Stegostoma tigrinum: one gene and its partner. The protein of the gene in region 2 interacts with the protein of the main gene of each other region in a pairwise test. Links are inferred from orthologs where the notes say so. Each region holds a gene or a part of one and is shown on either strand. Other genes may lie near its edges. The genes, in order: atox1 and protein FAM118A-like.

The links.
Region 1: the proteins of protein FAM118A-like (region 2) and atox1 interact in binary tests that used the Homo sapiens proteins (3 or more experiments, as listed by UniProt). The two-hybrid records come from large-scale screens. The link is inferred for Stegostoma tigrinum from reciprocal best matches to the Homo sapiens genes FAM118A and ATOX1.

What each region holds. Positions count from the first base shown.
Region 1 is NC_081366.1:16,694,324-16,703,918, reverse strand, and holds the start of atox1 (copper transport protein ATOX1), read right to left. Parts: upstream 3,866-9,595; 5' UTR 3,786-3,865; coding exon 3,780-3,785; intron 595-3,779; coding exon 519-594; intron 1-518. UniProt on the Homo sapiens protein: Binds and deliver cytosolic copper to the copper ATPase proteins. May be important in cellular antioxidant defense.
Region 2 is NC_081371.1:20,274,407-20,283,831, forward strand, and holds the start of protein FAM118A-like, read right to left. Parts: upstream 4,150-9,425; coding exon 4,085-4,149; intron 1-4,084.

The DNA of each region.
Region 1 (9,595 bases), on a different chromosome or scaffold from region 2:
ATCTTACTTTTGTCCCTTGATTAGGCCTAATCTTACTTTTGTAATATGCAGGAATTTCAAAGAGACTGGCCACAGAATTCATCCTGACTGTTCAGAGATCAGAATTCTGAAAATCTTATTTCTTTCAGCAATGAAGTTGATCTTGTAAATAATAGAAGGTAAATCCCAAAAGTTAAATTAAATTGCAAAACAGACCGCAAGTTTTCAGGCAGAAACTAGTAAAAGGCAAACTTAGGACTGGTAAAAAATAACCTCCATTCTTGTGTTGTAAGTTATCAATATACAGAACAGATGACTGGGCAGATCAGAAGCAAATACATCAATCTTTTCCAGACCTAATAGTTGCCATAATTGGAGAGACTTCAGGGACATACAAGGTAGGGAAATGAAAGTGGGTCAAATGACCACTTTCTGATGTTGCCCTGACACAATGAAATAACAGAGTTATCAGAATTATTTCTCACACTAAAATTAGCTCTGCAGTTCCCATTATCTCTGATACTATCTTGGAATCTCACCTCCTAATTTATTCAGCACTCTGGTCACAGCGTTAGAGCAGCCTTCACATGTCATGTCGACGAAGAACTCGTGTTTCTGCAAAAGATTCAATGATTTAAAAATACTCAATCAAAATTTTCGTCTTTATTTTTGAATCTAACCAAGGGTGTGCTCCTCACTGTCTCTGGATTTTCCTCTAGTCCTACTTCCTTCAGTAGATATGCTCACTTCACTAATTGTGACCTCTTGAATCACATCAGTTTTAATCATGACATACTTGGTGGCCAAGTCCTGGAATTTCTCAGTTTAACCACTGGGCCTCTTAACTGCTCTCCCTTCCTTAACACAGATCTTTAAACAAAACTTATTAGTCATTCACTAAAAATCACCTGGCATGTACTTCTGTGGCAAATCTTGGATTATAATGCTCTGTTAAAACATTTTACTAAAGGTTTGATAGAAATAAAAATTGCTGTTTTCAGAATCCCAATGATCCGTTATTAAAATTATCAAATTATGCATGTGATGGAGATATTTAAACAAAACGGACACTATATACGTTGTCTCACAAACTCAAAATAACAAGACTGAGGTGGATGAACAAAGAACCAGAGAATTATGGTATAAATGGAAGCCATTTATCACATGAAACATGTCCACGTTTTTGAACAGCCATGTAGTAAGTTGCTTTTCCCCCACTCTTTCCCCTTATCTCTGAAATTTTGTTCTCCTCCAAACACTCATAAAGGTCACTAAGAGAGTTACTACTAAACCATACTCATTATCTTTTCAGGCAGTGGACTCCAAATCCTAATCACTAACTGGCAAAAGAAATGGAGATAACTTTCTATGCAATCACTATAAATCAGTGTCACAACAAGCAGATATTCACCTGCACATCTGCCAATGTGGTATACTGCATCTGCTGTACCCGTTGTGGCCTCCTCTACATCGGGGAAACAAAGCGGAGGCTTGGGGGCCGCTTTGTAGAACACCTACGCTTGGTTTGCAATAAGCAATTGCACCTCCCAGTCGCGAACCATTTCAACTCCCCCTCCCATTCCTTAGACGACATGTCCATCCTGGGCCTCCTGCAGTGCCACAACGATGCCACCCGAAAGTTGCAGGAACAGCAACTCGTATTCCGCTTGGGAACCCTGCAGCCTAATGGTATCAATGTGGATTTCACAAGCTTCAAAATCTCCCCCACCCTACTCATCCCAAAGCCAGCACAGCTCGTGCCCGCCTGCCTAACCTGTTCCTCTCACCTATCCCCTCCTCCTACCTCAAGCCACACCCCCATTTCCTACCTACTAACCTCAACCTGTCCATCCTCCCCGGACTGACCTATCCCCTCCCTACCTCCCCACCTACACTCACCTCTACTGGCTCCATCCCTGCCTCTTTAACTTGTCTGTTTCCTCTCCACCAATCTTCTCCTCTACCCATTTTTGATCCGCCTCCCCCTCCTCCGCCTCCTTTCTGATGACGGATCTAGGCCCGAAATGTCAGCTTTTCTGCTCCTAAGATACTACTTGGCCTGCTGTGTTCATCCAGGTCTACCATTTGGTAGTGGTTCCTTTTCCTTCAAACAGACTCACCCAATCGACCTCTGATAGATCCTGCCTAATAGCTCCAAAACTGGCCCTGCTGCAGTTCAGCACCTTAACCTGCGGACCTGTTCTATCTTTTCCCATAAGTATGAGAGTTATGGTCAATGGACCTAAAGTGCTCTCTGATTGACACTTCAGTCACTTGCCTGACCTTGTTTTCTAAGAGGATTTCCTGTGTTGCACCCTCCCGAGTAGGGCCCTCTAAATATTCACTTAGGAAACTTTCTTGTTCACATCTGTCAAATTTCACCTCATCCAGGCTTTTTACCTTCTGGGTCAATACAGGAGAAAATAAAGTCTCCAATCGGTACTACTCTATTATTCCTACGTGCATCTGCAATCTCTCTACACATCTGCTCCTTTAGTATCCGCTGTCTATTTGGGGGTCTATAACAAGTCACAAAGTGAGCATCCCCTTCTTGTTTCTAAATTCAAACCATTTGGTATCATCTAATGACCCCCTTAAGAATATGTTCTCTAAGCTCTGTTGTTATGTCCTCCCGTATCAAACGGGCAACTCCCCCTCCTCACTTGTACTTCTATCACTCTGCAGCTTCTGTATCCTGGAACATTGAGCTGCCGATCCTGCCTTTCTCTTAGCCATGTTTCTGTTATGACTATAATATCCCAGTCCCCACAGCCAATCCATGCTCTGAGCTCATTTGCCTCATACAAAGGATCCCATGCCACTAAAGTGAACATTTGAATCCCCTGAGACTTCATCAGAACTGACCACCGTACCTACTGAATCAAAGATACCAAAAAAAACTGATCCTGGAAATTTTGAAAAAAAAAACAGAAGTTGCTGGAGAAACTCAGTAAGTCTAGTAGCATCTGGACATAGAAAGCAGAGTTAAACGTTCAAGTTCAGTAACTCTTCTACTAAACACCGAAGGTCTGAAGAAGGGTCATTGGACCCAAAAGTTAAACTTTGTTTGCACAGGTGCTGCTAGACCTGTTGAGTCTTTTCCAGCAACTTCTGTTCTTGAGCTTATCGACTGAATTGCGTAGAGAGAAACATTTTCAAATAGTGCCATGAGACCTTGCACATTCTTGCCAGAGGTGGGACTTTGATGTAACTCTTTGTCTGAAATCAGGAATGCCCATCCTCCAGTGCAGCGCTCCCTCAGTACTGCACCGAAGTACCGGCCCAGATTTTGCATTCAGTTTTTGGAGAGTAACTTACAACCCTGTGATTCACCTCTCCTACCCTCTCTGAGACAAAATCCAAACTGGTCTCAATGCATTCGACAGAAAATGTGTATCAAGTTCTCCCCCCACCCCTCCCCACAAAACCCCAGACCATTTGTTGTCATCAGCCTTGCAAAAAGGTTGTGCCCTAAAAAAAAATTAGCCTCGAAACATCTCTGGGAATGCAAACACTTTCTGCTGCGCCATTTCGCGGGAGCAGCTAGACCGGGGACTCGGCAAGGGTGTAATACGCCTCCTGTAGCCGAACAGCCAGCTGTACTCATAGCCCAGGCGGACGGGCGAGGGAAAGGCCCCAGCTCCGGGGGGGGAAGGATGGTCCAACCGCTAGGAAATACAAACAATCGCTCAGGCCGTACTGATCCAGAGCGCGGGTCCCCGTGACAAGCGCGGTGTTTGCGTGGACCCCACCCCGGGCTTCGAGCCCACACACCCCCACAACTTCCCCCTCCGCCTCACCGCCATGATGACTCCGGGGTCTCCGCCTCTCTGCTCCTGCTCCCAACCTCGTCCACAACCGGCTGTCACCTCGGCGCATGCGCAACTGCCCATTCACCGGCACAAATAGGGCCGCTAGGGGGCGACCGCGGGCCCACCCGCCTGACTCGCAACCCAGCGATCCGCCGCTAGGGGGAACCAGCGATCCGCCGCTAGGGGGAACCAGCGCCCCCACCCCAAAAAAAACCTGGCACGCACCCGAGCAGGCCAAGCAGCATCTCAGGAGCACAAAAGCTGACGTTTCGGGCCTAGACCCTTCATCAGAGAGGGGGATGGGGAGAGGGAACTGGAATAAATAGGGAGAGGGGGGAGGCGGACCGAAGATGGAGAGTAAAGAAGATAGGTGGAGAGAGTATAGGTGGGGAGGTAGGGAGGGGATAGGTCAGTCCAGGGAAGATGGACAGGTCAAGGAGGTGGGATGAGGTTAGTAGGTAGATGGGGGTGCGGCTTGTGGTGGGAGGAAGGGATGGGTGAGAGGAAGCACGGGTTGGGCTGGTTTTGGGATGCAGTGGGTTCTCTCACCCATCCCTTCCTCCCACCTAAAGCTGCACCTCCATCTCCTACCTACTAACCTCATCCCACCTCCTTGACCTGTCCATCTTCCCTGGACTGACCTATCCCCTCTCTACCTCCCCACCTATACTCTCTCCACCTATCTTCTTTTCTCTCCATCTTCGGTCCGCCTCCCCCTCTCTCCCTATTTATTCCAGAACCCTCTCCCCATCCCCCTTTTCTGATGAAGGGTCTAGGCACGAAACGTCAGCTTTTGTGCTCCTGAGATGCTGCTTGGCCTGCTGTGTTCATCCAGCTCCACACTTTGTTATCTTGGATTCTCCAGCATCTGCAGTTCCCATTATCTCTGATGCAACCGAGCGATCCGCCACTAGGGGGAACCCGTGGGCCCACCCGCTGTCTGGCAACCCAGTGATTCGCCGCTACGGGGAGCCCGCGGAGCCTTTGACGTCTCACAAACCGGCGACCTGACACTCCACCCCGACTTGCAACGCAGCCAGCCACCGCTAGGAGGAGCGCCCGGCCCCCCCCAATCCAAACACGCAACGCAGCGATCCCTCACTAGGCGGAGCCCGCGGGCTATACTTCAGACCCACAACTCAATTAGAGGCGAATGTCACCCCCAACCCCCAAACTTCCTGTGCTGCAGTGAAAAAAGTTCCAGCCTAACCTGGCTTATTCCTACAACTGAAACCTTCTATCCTTGGCAACATCCTGGTAAATCTTTTCTGAACCCTCCAGTTTAATAATGTCCTTCCTGTAACAGGGTGGCCACAATTGCACAAAGTATTCCAGACGAGTCCTCAGCAATGTCCTGCACAACCTCAACATACCATTCCCAACTCCTACACTCAATGGTCTGAGCCATGAAGGCAAGCACGCAAATGCCTTCCTAACCACCCTGTCTACCTGTGAAGCAAATTTCAAAGAATTATGTACCTGAACCCCTAAGTCTCTGCTGGACAACACAGCCCAAGGCTTTCCCATTAGTTTTGTAAGTCCCGCCCTTTTTGTTTTAACAAAATGCAATACCTCACATTTATCTAAGATAAACTCCATCTGCCATTCCTCAGCCCATTGACCCAATTGATCAAGACCTCTTTGCAATCTTAGATAACCTTCACTGAGAATCAATGGGTTGTAGTGGATACCTGGGGGACAGCTCATCCACAGAAATGAAAACACTGAAGTCAAGTGAGGGAAGGAAAGAGTCAGATGCAGGTGGAGGTGTGAGAAAGATGGCAATTGGAAGCAAGACATTTTTTTCAAATTCCAGGCAATAGCAGGAAGATACTATTAATGTACCAGAGAAAGACTTGTGGGTGGAAGCCTGAGTAGGGCTGGAACAAGGAGTGTTCCACATACCCCACAAAGAGACAGGCTCGCCAGGGACCCATGCAGGGGTCCATGGCCACATGTTTGACTTGGAGAAAATGAGATGAGTTGAAGGAGAAATTAAGTGAGAACAAGCCCAGCCAAGCGATGGAGGGTGGCAGTAATGGAGGCAATGCAGATCTCTTTTCAAGGTAGAAGCAGAGACCTCACAGCTAATCCTGATGGGGGAATGGATGTGTAGAAGAATTTCTCATCCATAGAGGAAAGGAGGTGGCTAGGGCCAGAAAACTGGAAATCTTGGAACTGACATAACACATCAAAAGACAATTTTTTTGAGTTTCTACAGCATTTTCTGTGTTCTTCTCAGTTTTCCAGCTTCTGCAAAATCTTGCTTTAATGTGGGTGAGTTAGTTAAACATAGAGTTTGTTGTCATTTATGGCTGTGAGCAGTATTAAGACAACACCGCTCGGGGGGAGCTAAAGGAAATATTTCAATGTTCCTTTGTCCTAAGCTGTGTGTTGACCTGTCAGTGCTGGAATGAATCCCAGAGTATGGGTGATTTCCAGAATGTAGGCTTGTTACTATTTGAAGGGACATTGGATTGAGGTTCTAGTTTGGAAGAAAAAATGTTTTTATGGCTCTTCTTTATTGCTTGATGGTGTAAAGATCTGGGGTTGTTTCTCCTCCTGGGGAGGAAACTGGGTTATCCAAGGTACAGGGTCTTAGATTGACTTCAAGGATGTCTTTGCGTCTAGGTTTGGAATGTCCTGTGGTGTGGGTTTCTGTGCCCAGCTGGCTGAAGAATACCACAGGACAATTCCGTGTGTACTGCATAGTTGTTTCAGCAAAGCTGCTTTCTGGTGAACATGTACCTTGCAAAGAAATTTGAGTGTCAGCGATCTTGTCCTACCACTTGATGTTACAGATAGGTCTTATGCAACCAAAGTAGAATGGTCATTCAAAACAGTGGCTCCCATATTCTAAATGGCACAAAGTACTGTTCATCTATCAGCTCTGTGCTAGTTGACCTACATGGATTTCTGTCCTTGCAGCCTTAGAAATTTTAGATTTTTGCCATTGTTTTCAATTATTCAATGACTTTAACCCTATCTCTCTCAATATTTCCCCTCAAGTTCTTCACTTCTCCAATATCTCTCTGTTCCTCCGATTATGGCTACTTCCACATCCCCATTTTTTATCACACCAGCACTGGACCCTAAGCTCTGGAATTCCCACACTACCTTTTTTTCCTATTTATTTGTGGGATGTGAGCATTGCTGGCTGGCAGCATTTCTTGCCCATCAGTAGTTGCCCTTGAGAAGGTGGTGATGAGCTGCCTTCTTGAATCGCTGCGGTCCTCCTTCTGCGGGTTGACCCACAATGCTATCAGGGAGGGAATTCCAGGATGTTGAACCAGCGACAGTGAAGGAACAGCAACACACTTCCACGTCAGGATGGTGAGTTGCTTGGAGAGGAACTTTGAGGTGGTGGTGTTCTCATATATCTGATACCCTTGTCCCTCTAGATGGAAGTGGTGGTGGGTTTGGAAGGTGCTGTCTGATGATCTTTGGTGAATTTCTGCAGTGCATGTTGTAAATAGTATTCACTGCTGCTGCAGGGTGTCGGTGGTGGAGGGAGTGAATGCTTGTGGGTGTAGTGCCAATCAAACGGGCTCGTTTTTCCTGGATGGAGTCAAGCTTCTTGAGTGTTGTTGGGGCTGCACTCATCCTATATCTCTCAACCTTGTTACCATTCCTTCTCTCTTTAAGATGTACCATAAAATTTACTGCTTTGAAGAAGCTTTTGGCCAACATATATGTGGCTTGGCATCAATTTTTGATGACAATGCCTTTATAAAGCAGTTTGGTTTGTTTTAAAATCTAAAAGCACTATATGAATGTAAGTTGTTGTTCTAGATCTTCTTGTGGTGTGAGTGTACTTCTGACTCTTACTGGCTTTAGCTTGATGATGTGTTTGTCATTCTTATTGGACAGCTTGCCAAAGCAATAAGAGTTCACAGGAAATCAGGTCAAAGATTGTTGATTTTCACATATACATAAAGAGAACCATTTACACCTCTAAACTTTATACAAACCATTACAACACATATATCTTACACTATCTGACGAAGGGTCACTAGACTCAAACTGGCCCTGCGTTTCTCCAACATTTTCTGTTCATGTTTCAGATTTCCAGCATCTGCAGTTCTTTGTTTTTATAATATTGTATCATCTACCATTTTCTCACAGATTTCACAGGCATTGTTTATATTTCACTCAGGGCTGTTTTTGTCTGACTGATAGTATAACTCCTACACTCTGTGTGCTGCCTTTGCACAACAAGTGGTTCCTATTTGTTTTTAGAAAATGACTGAAAAGTTAAACTTTATCTAACTTAAACTGATTATACCTCTTCAGCAATGAACATGGCTCAGAACCCCAAAGTATGATGGGCAGTTTCCTTGTAATTGTGTCTTCAGAAGAGGGGTCATACTGCCAAAAATGGCCGCTGATGTAAATGAAGCATTGTTTGGCAATGGAGTGACCCATGGAAAGTCAAACCTAAAGACACAACCTCAAACTATTAATGTTCAAAGCAGGGAAAAGGCAACTGAAAACACATTGGATGATCTCTTGTGGCTACAGAGATAACCAGGCACTGACGAGACCCTGCTCCAGAAAAAGCCACTGTTAGACTTCGTCTAACTTCTAAGTTAGCTTTTTAACTGACTACCCATCCCCCCCCAACTCACCTTGCACGTTCCAACAACACATCTCCCTGATCCTTTACCACTCCCACCCCAGATCCTGACCCAACACCATTTCTTACACCAGAACCCGACAACACTACCCACCCCAGGACTTGATGTCTTTCCAACACCACAATATCCAGTTTTACCCACCCATCCTAAACCACCTTATTTGTCACTTATTTGCGCCTGAGCACCCTACTTGTGTGATAGCCTATCCATCTGTTTATTTGTTACTTGTTGACACCCTATCCCCTACCGTCCTGGCATGCTACCTCGTACTATTTGGCACCCTCTCCACCTGGTGTCCTGTTCCCTAAAAAGCTGGCACCTTACCCTCTGACGCCCTAAGGCCACACATACCTTACGTACTTTCCTTTAGCCAGCAGTGTCAAACTGGCTGTCTGTGATTCTGGATTTTTACATTTCAGAATATGGCACTGACAGCTGAAAAAAGACTTGCCTTCCCCTGACACTGTGAGGTTGGAAGATGGCTCCATATTACTGAAGAAGTCCTGACTGGTATCTCATGTCAGAAATTCTACCATAAAATAAAGTCTGAGTAAAATGATCTGGTGCAAGAGATTACTGCTCCTTGAAAAAGTTGGCCTCTTCTCTTTTTATTTCCTCTCAGCTTCTCAGCCCAGTGGCAAGCCAAAGACATCAGCAAGGTTTACTACCAGAGTCATACAGAACAGAAACAGAGATTTCAATCCAATCAGTCCACGTCATCCATAATTCCAAACTAGACTGGGCCCACCTGCCTGAGCTTGGCCTATATCCCTTCAAACTTTTCTTATTCATGTACTTATTCAATGTCTTTGAAATGCTAAAACTATCCCTGCATCCATGATTTTGCCCTTCATTTTTTTAAAAATTTCTGTGTCACCTTAAAAACTCCTAGTCCTGAAATCCCTTACCCTAGGTGAAAAAGAGCTGCCATCCATCTAATCCGTACCTTTCATGATTTTAAAAACCTCAGTAAACACCCCTCAATCTCCCACACTCCAGTGAAAAAAGCCCGAGCCGATATAGCCTGTCCTATAGCTCACACCTTCCACTCCCAGCAACGTCTTGTAAATCTTGTCTGGACCCTCTCCAGCCTGTTGACACCCTTCCTATAACAAGGCCCCCACAAATGGATGCAGTACTCCAGAAGAGGCCTCACCAACGTTCTGG
Region 2 (9,425 bases):
TAGATAGTCCAACTAAGAAAGGGACTGTACTTGACTTTGTACGGGAGAATGAACCTTACCAGGTGATCAAAGTTTCTGCGGGAGAACATTTTGGGAACAGTGATCATAATTCAGTCAATTTTAAGATTGTTGTGGATAAGGATAACACTGGTCCTTGGGTGAAAGTACTAAAATTGAGGAAGGCTAATTACAACAGTATTAGGCAGGAATTGGAGAATTAGATCGGGAGCGACTATTTGAGAGTTAACCCACATCTGATATGTGCGAGTCTTTTAAAGGCCATTTGATGAGAGTTCAGAACCAGCATGTTCCTGTGAGGATGAAATACAAGGATGGCAAGATTCAAGCACGATAAATGACAACAGATGTTGAAAGCTTAGTCTAAAAGGGTAAAGAAAGCATAAGTAAGGTTTAAGAAACTGAAATCAAACAAGACCCTTGAGGGAGCAGAAAAGAACTTAAACAAGGAATTAGGAGAACTAGAAAGGGCCATGAAATGGCCTTTGCAAGTAGGAATAAGAATAAGGAGAGTCCAAAGGCATTTTATACATATATTACGAGAAAGAGGCTAAGTGGAGAAAGGGTAGATTCAGTCAAGGAGAAAAGAGTAAACTGGTGCAGAGTAAGAGAAAGTGGGTTACGTCCTTAATGAGTAATTTACATCGGTGTTCACAAGTAGTAAAAGGATGATGGGCAACATTGATGTGCTGGGGTATGTCGATGTTAAGCGGTAGTGTTGGGTAACTTGAAAAACTCCGAGATAGATACGTCCCCACAGCCTTACAGGATTTATCCTATGATACTGACAGAGGCAGGTTAGAAATTGCTGAGGTCTTTGGCTATTTTGTGACCCCACCTATGGCTAATATTCTTCCTTTGTGAAGGACAACGGGGTTACCACATGAAATTATAGATCATTGAGTCTTACATCATTGGTAGGGAAATTACTGGAAAGCAATTCTTAAGGACAGGATTTACTTGCATTTGGGAAAGAGTCGACTTATTAGGGATAGCAATGGCTTTGTGCAGGGGAGATCTTGTCTCTCAAACTTGAGGAGTTCTTTTGTTGAAGTGACAAAGTTGATTGATAAGAATGGGGTAGTGAATGTTGTCAACATGGATGTTACTAAATGTATCAACAAGGTCCTTCATGGTGGGCTGGTCCAGAAGATTAAGTTGCATGGGATCCATGATAATATCGCAAATTGGATACAAAATTGGCTTGGTCAAAGAAGACAAATAATAGTCATGTTTTTGGGGGAGGGGTGGTGGGGGAGCTTTTTATGAGTGGAGTTCTCTGACAGGTGGTGTTTCGCAAGGATCAGTGTTGGGAATTTGGTTGTTTGTAATATATGTAAATAGCTTAGATGAATATGTAGACTGTCCAATTAGTAATTTTGCGGACGTGCAAAATTGGAGTTGTGGACAATGAGGAAGTTTATCAAGGGATACAACCGGCTACAGATCAGTTAGAAAGCTGGGTGAAGAAACGACAGATGGAGTTTAATCTGGAGCAAAAAGACAGTTGCTGGAAAAGCTCAGCAGAACTGGTAGCATCTGTGGAGGAGAAAAAAAAGTTAGCGTTTCGGGTGCGGTGACCTTTCCTCATTTTACAGCATCCGCAGTTCTTTTGGTTCTTATTAGAGTTTAATCTGGACAAGCTGAGGTGATGTATTATGAAAAGTCAATGCAAGAGGAAACTATACAGTAAATAGCAGGACACCCAGGTGCAAAGGGATGTAGAGATCCAAGTCCATAGCTTCCTGAAAGTGATTTTTTTGATCACGGTCACGTTGCTGTTTGTGGAATCTTTTCATGCATAATTCGGCTATGTTTCCTATATTACCAGTTTTGGGAAGAAGTTTTGTTCTGGAAATAATATTGAATCTTCATTAAGATTTGAGATTATAAGGATATTGCTGGGATAAACAGACTATCTTGAATTCAAAACATTTTGCAGGTGCTTGCACTGAAATCTTTATAGCCTTTTTTGTCTAATCCAATACAATTCAATTTTTTTTGTTTAATAAACATGTTACATGGTCAAAGAACACTTGCAGATTCGTATAAATGTGTTCAGCAACTGACTTACATAGTTAAAAAGGTTACAGGTTACCAACCCTGGGATATGACTTGTTGAGCATTAACATCAGCTCGGATCATAAGAGTCTGAAAAAATATGGAGCGTGGGAGGAAGCACGTGAATTATACCTATCAAAAGCATATTCACATTGTCATTTTTTTTCCATATTCACTTTGAAGGCAAGAACAAAATAGTTCTAAACTCAGTAATTTGAGTAACTTGATTTCTCAGCAATTTAAGGGTGGATGCACCAAACTTGCTCACCTGAATTAGCTTATGTTGTAACATATTTCAAGTGAAGATTAAATCTAACTTAAAATGTGACGAACAAATCGTACACCAAGATATCACATTTCCAATTATGACAAGGAAAACTTGACCAAATGGTCATAAATCAACAATGTTTCTCTCTGTCTCCAGTCTTGACATCATATTCAAGTAGTTTAATATCATTTTCAATTGAAAAATTCACACTAAAAAGTAAAGCTTCATCTCAGATCATAAACATCAACACAATACACATATGCTTATGGTGGGCAAGTGGTGACAGTGGCAGTGTTAAATTCAGAGTTCAAATCCACAATAGCTGCTGATAAATTTAAAGTTAATAAATAAATGCGAAATAAAAAAAAACAGTAAAGGTGGCTGTCACAACTATTCATTATTGATTGCTTCAAAGAAAATCTGTCACCCTTACTTTATCCAACCTCATGTAACCCCAGTCCCTCATTAATGTGGCAGGATCTTAACTATGCGAGCCAGCCACTCAGTTCAAAGCTCCCTCTGCATCCCAAAACCAGCCCAGCTTGCCCCAGCCTCCATATCCTGTTCTTTCTCTCACCTATCCCCTCCTCCCAGCTCAAGCCACACCTCCATTTCCTATCTACTAACCTCATCCCACCCCCTTGGCCTGTCCGTCCTCCCCGGACTGACCTATCCCCTCCCTACCTATACTAACCTCTACAGGCTCCATCCCCGCCCCTTTAACTTGTCTGTCTCCTCTCCATCTATCTTCTCCTCCATCCATCTTTGATTCACCTCCCCCTCTCTCCCTATTTATTTCAGAACCCTCTCCCCATTCCCTTTTTCTGATGAAGGTTCTAGGCTCAAAACATCAGCTTTTGTGCTCCTAAGATGCTGCTTGGCCTGCTGTGTTCATCCAGCTCCACACTTTGCTATCTCAGACAACAAAAGCTGGTTTTGCCAGACATGCCCATACCCCAAAAAGGAATTTTTGAAAACTGCTCACATAAAAAAATAATTAACTAGTACAAGAAAAGGCGGTCACCTGATTAATTTCCTTTACGATGTTTAGCTTTAAATAGGGTAGGCAATGGCCTAGCGGTAACATCACTAAACTAAAAATCCAGAGACCTAGTTAGTGTCTTAGGGATCTGGATTTGAATCGTGCCGTAGTAAATGGTAGAATTTGAATTCAATAATAATCTGGAAAGCAGGGCCCATTGGTGATGCTGATGCAGATTGTCAGGAAAAAAACCCATCTGGATCACTAATTACCTTTCGGTAAGGAAATCTACCATCCCTACTTACAGACAAAGGCAACGTGGTTGTTTCTTAACTACCCTCTGGGCACTTAGGGATGTGTAATAAATGCTGGTCTAGCTTTAGATGCCCACAACCCACAAAGGAATGTAAAAAACCTCTTTCACATCATGACAATGCATTCTTAACTCATTATGCAAATTGTTACAAAGAACTCCTGACTTTTCTCCCCCATGCTCAATGTATTAAAATTATTTTGCAGGTTCCTAATTGACTTAATTATTTCCAGAACAAAAAGCTAAGCAACTCTGTTTGTAAAATCTAATTTAGCTTGATCTAATCATTACATCCTTCATTTTTTTTTGACTTTAGTAAAGTCATGCACTACAGACTTTGGCTATCTCACCAAGGAAGATTTATTTTAAATTTTGTGTTCTGCACTAATCATATCACTCCTTTTGCTGTAAGTCATATTCATTTCCATTGTTGGGTATTTACCTGGACTTCTGCTCAAGGTTTTGAGAAGGATGAACTAAATCCATGTGCACCTGAAAAAAAAACATTTTGTTCACATATCAACACAAAACTTAGCCCACTGTCAGTGCTCCAAAATAAAAATACAGACGGTGAAAATTTGAAATCAAAGCAGAAACGTTGCTAACACTCAATGCAGAGAGAGAAAAGGAGAGCGAGCAGAGGAATACATAGAAACATACGGGATTTCTGGAATTGCTTACTTTCAAAGCTTCCTTTCTGGCGTGGGAGGAGGTTATCCCCTTTGCATTCTCAGCTGTTTCTTCTTCTTTCTTTCACCCTCCCACCTAATTCTTCTTCAGTGAATTAGATGTAGAAAAAGGGCTTCTTTGGGGTAAAGGCAATCAGCCATCTCACCTGGTTGGCTAGCTTGTGAAACTTCCAGTTCTTGAACAGGTGCCCTTATTTTCACTAGGTTCAGAGGATGCTCCCCACTTTGTTCAAACAGTTTAAATTAAGACTCTTCTCCCTCTCGCCCATCTAACCTTTTTATGTTTGAAATTTTAACCTTCTCTATCTGATCAGAATGTTTACCAGGGCTACCTTGTCTGTTTTGGTTCTAAACTTAGCTCTGGTTCTCCAAAATCAAACGTGAGGATTGTCCTCTAGCAAACTGAAAATGAGCAATGCCCATAAACTGTTCCAATTTATTTCACTCTGCTCTAAAAACCCATCGGCCTTGACAGTGAACATTTGTTTACACTGTAGTTTACAAGAGACCTTTAATGGCATTACTAAAATTAAATAATCAGGATTGACTCAATCCCTAGATAACAAGGTGTAGAGCCAGATGAACACAGCAGGCAAAGTAGCAGAGGAGCAGGAAAGCTGACATGTCTTCAGAAAGAAGGGTTTAGGCCAGAAACATCAGCTTTCCTGCTCCTCTGATGCTGCTTGGCCTGCTGTGTTCATCTGGCTCTACACCTTGTCATCTCAGATTCTTCAGCATCTGCAGTTCCTACTATCTTTGATTCAATCACTACTTCTGATTACATTCATTCATTTGTGGGTTCAATGCCAGACTCGAGTGCCCAAATATTTGTTCCTGTCGGGAAGAGTGTTCCAAAGACTGACATTTGTGGGGAAAAAATAAGTTGCTTTCTCACTGTCCATTCAAGTGGGCAATCTCGTGCTTCAATGGTAATCCGTAGTTCTAGACTCTCTTGTAAAAGAAAGCATCCTCTCCACATCTCTTCTGTCAGGAAGCCTTATGACTTTTTTTAAAAAGCCAGATTGCTTCTTATTCTGCTAACATTTTAATAGGTATAAGCCTATGCTGTCCAACTGTTCACATCAGCTATTAGTTCAGTAAACCATCTTTGAACTGCTTTCAATGAATGTCATCCTTCTTTAAACAAAGGTGATCAAGAGTACCCCATATAATAAGCATAACTTCCTCCCTTTGTATTTAATTTCCTTGCAATGAATGATAATTGTATTAGCTTTCTTAATTTTCTGTTATAGCATACGTATAGAAGGTTAGGAAAATGGAGTGGAGGATCATTACATCAGCTATGATCTCATGGAATATGTTTCACTAATGAGCCAAATGGTCTAATTTTGATCATACAGCTTATTTTCCTACTGTTTTTGCAGTTCTTGCCAGCTCTCTCTTCTATTCTAATTTTTCCCTCTTTTTGGTCATTATTTCTAAAATATTTCAATCTTCATCCTATCACTTAACTTTGTATCATTGCATATCTTTTGTTTCAATTTGATAACACCCTTAATTTTCTTAGATTGCCAAAAATGTTGTGTCTCTCAGTCTTTGTTTCTCAATGGAAAATATGTTTGTTCAGAGTTTTGAAATATCTCCATAAACGTTTGTCACTTATCTCCTTTCAACCTATTTCCGAGCATTTATTTGCATTTATGAATCCCAGTTCTCAGGATTCTTACATAAATGATATACCTGTATAGTGAAGAAACTATGAATTCTGTTTTATTACACATTGCCCAGTATAAAATTGGCTGCTACCTGAATTGATCTGGAATGTATTAAAAGAAACACTGCCCTGAATACACTATGAGTTCATCGCCCAAACTATTTTTGCTGATTTCATTCTTCCGATCCGCAAGATGATTCAAATTGCCAAGTGGTAACATTTTTCTTACAAGTTTTCATCATGTTTTTATTTTTAATCAGGCCTACAATGTATCTATTGTTATGGCATAAACAATTCCAATAGGTAACTTTTTTTGCTGTTCCTTATTTCCATACAAACCAATTCTAAATCACGTTCCTCCTAAAGTAAAATAATTGCTCACTACTATCCTGATCTCATTCATTTTTTTTAAAAACAGATTTACCCCATTCCTTATATTTAGTGAAGCTCAGGACTCAGATGAGATCAGTTCATAACCTCAACTTGTAGTGGCAGTCACATCATGCTAATCTGTTTCTATTAGTGCCATCATTTCATCCAACCAGTGACAAATGAAGCATGCATTCAGATTAAGCACATTTAATTCTGAAACAAAAAACAAAAATTACTGGAAAAGCTCAACAGGTCTGGCAGCATTTGTGGACAGAAATCAAGAGTTAACATTTTGGGTCCAATGGCAGCTGGGAAAATGTTGGTTTTTATGCAGAAGACAGCGTTGGGCAGGGAGTACAAAGTAAAACAGTAGGTGGAGAGAGAGTCCAGAGAGGAGAGGACAATTGAACCAACAACAGAGTAGATAGCAACCAGGTTATGAGGATGTATAGCTGTTAATAGGGATTGTTCATGGCTAACAATGGGTTATGTGTAATAGTAGACCATGTGACAACAAGGCCTGGTATATGGGGGGTTGGGGTATGGACATGGGAGAGCTTAAGCCCGGAAATTGTTGAACCTGAGTTTCTAGAAGGGTGTAGAGTTCCCAAGCAGAAAAATGAGGTACTGGTCTTCCAGCTTGCACTGTAGAATCCATAAGCTCCACAACTTTGCTGGAGCACTACAGCAAGCCTGAGACAGAGATGTTGGCAGGTACAAGGTTGTGTGTTGAAGTGGCAGACAACTGGAAACTCAGGGTCTGTTTTGCGATAGATGTTCTCCGAAGCAATCACCTAGTCTATGCTTCATTTTGCCATTGGTGACATTGTGAATAGCAAATGGAGTAAACTAGATTAAAGTGCAGGTAAAGCACTGCTTCATATGGAAAGTGCATCTGGGCCCTAAAAACCGTGAAAGGAGGAAGTAAATGGACAGGTGTTACATCTTTTATAGTTGCAGGGGAAAGTGCCATGGGACTGTGGGGGAGAATTTGGGAGTGAAGGAGGAGTGGACCTGGGTGTCTTGGAGGGAATGGTCCCTGAGGAAGGCTAACAAGGGAGGGGAGGGGAGGGGAATGTCTGCCTGGAGATGGTGGTCTTAGTGGCTAATGATCCTCTGGATGTGAATGATGGGGGCTTAGTTGGTACGAATAAGGGAAACCCTACCACGGTTGTGGGAGAGGGGATGAGGGCCGAAGTGTGGGAGATGTGTTAGACCCAACTGAGGGCCTTGTCAACTACGGTGTTCGGGAATCCGCAGTTGAGAAAGAAAGTGGATATTTCAGAGGTACCTATGTCAAAGTTGGCATCATCGGAACAGATGCAATGCAGACAGAGGAATTGGGCGAATGGAATAGAAGCTTGACAGGAATTCTGTCCTTTTACTATTTTTCCAGGTGCACTCTTCCATTTGTACACTCTGTGCCCTCGTGTCACATAGTGAATACAAAAGTCAGGAGATAACGATTACTATATGGAGCATGATTGCCATCCTTCTTTAACAAAGGTGACCAGTCATTGGAAGCAGTTCAGTGAAGGTTTACCAGACAAATATGTGACAATGAATAGGTTGGACAGGCTAGGCTTGTGCTCATTCCCCTGAATAGAACCTTGTGCTATTGCCAAATGATAGTATTTTCCCAAGCATTTTGGTAGCTTTTCGGGGCAGATTTGGCACATATTTTGGAGAGATGATTACTAACCATTTCTTACTTTGGATAGTCTCTTAAAAAAGACAGTTTTTAATTTCTACATAAAGTAGAATCCATAAGAGCATCCAAGCAGGTTTTTTCCTCTTTCTTTCATACATATGTGTAATTTGGCTTTCAAGAATCCCCAATAACTGAGATTTAAATTTTAGTCAATTCATCACTTTTCCTTTCCTATGCGCAATTTAACTTTTCAGTCAGCCTAGTACGAATAATGCAGCATAGTGAACCTCTTAATACTCACACCACCACATTGATGTTAATCCACAGATGGACATACATGGCAAAAACACATGTTCTGGACTAAAAGTTTGTAAAAAAAAAAATTCTCAGATCACCTTTACATTCTATTCACTTGTAAGAATAAAGGCCATTCTTGACAGTCAAAAACATAAAACTCACTTTATCCATATACGTGTGTCGGTTTATCCCTATTCCCTTTTCTGTCCCTGTACAAAAGTCAAAAGATAATTAAAGGTGAGGAAGGTAACTTATCCACTTCAATTCACCTATTCAAAAAGATGTCATTATATGCAAGTATAATAGTGAATTGCTTGTCCATTGATTTGAGTATTTATTTTCAGGAAGTTTATTCTATAATCCACATTTGATCATGTTTTGCATGACAAAATTTCCTAATATGCATTTTAAAGACTATGTTTGTCTAGTATGAACTACCCGAGTCTCTGCAGTACTCAGTTAACCAAACCCAGTAATCCCAGGTCCTGCTCCGTTGAACACAATTCGACTAATACTTGTTCTTTCTTACCTTTTAGTTAGCTGTTTAATCCATTCCTAAAGATTATATTAAATCCCATACATTGAATTTAATTAACTACATGTGGAATTTAGTTCAAAGTTATAGCAAGTACATCAAATTACAATCCAAACTATCATCTCAAATATTTAAGGAGCTCATCTGAAAAGAAGCTTTAAAATCAAAATATTTTTAATTATTCACATATCCTAAATGCAGTCAGGTGCTTTTATTAGGTCTCGATAGAAAGTTTTCCTATGAACTGAACAGCAAGCTGGCAGCTATTTGTTTCTCCTTGTGTATTGAAACAGCTTTGATAATGTCCTCTGCAAGACTCCTTCTGTCTCAAGAGTCATTTTGAGATGATGATTCTATTCAGGGGCTAGAGCCACAGTTTAAATGAGGAGTGCCCCCTGCTTAAATTCTAGAAAAAGAAGGCAGCCACATTTCCCTTTGAAAAGAAGGGCACACACCTAACTCCCTGCATCTCTGTGAAGGGCAAGGACCTGCAACAAAGAGTCCAGGCACCTCATACCCCTTCATTTTTGCCAATATAATACTAAGTTCATGGACACGGCTATA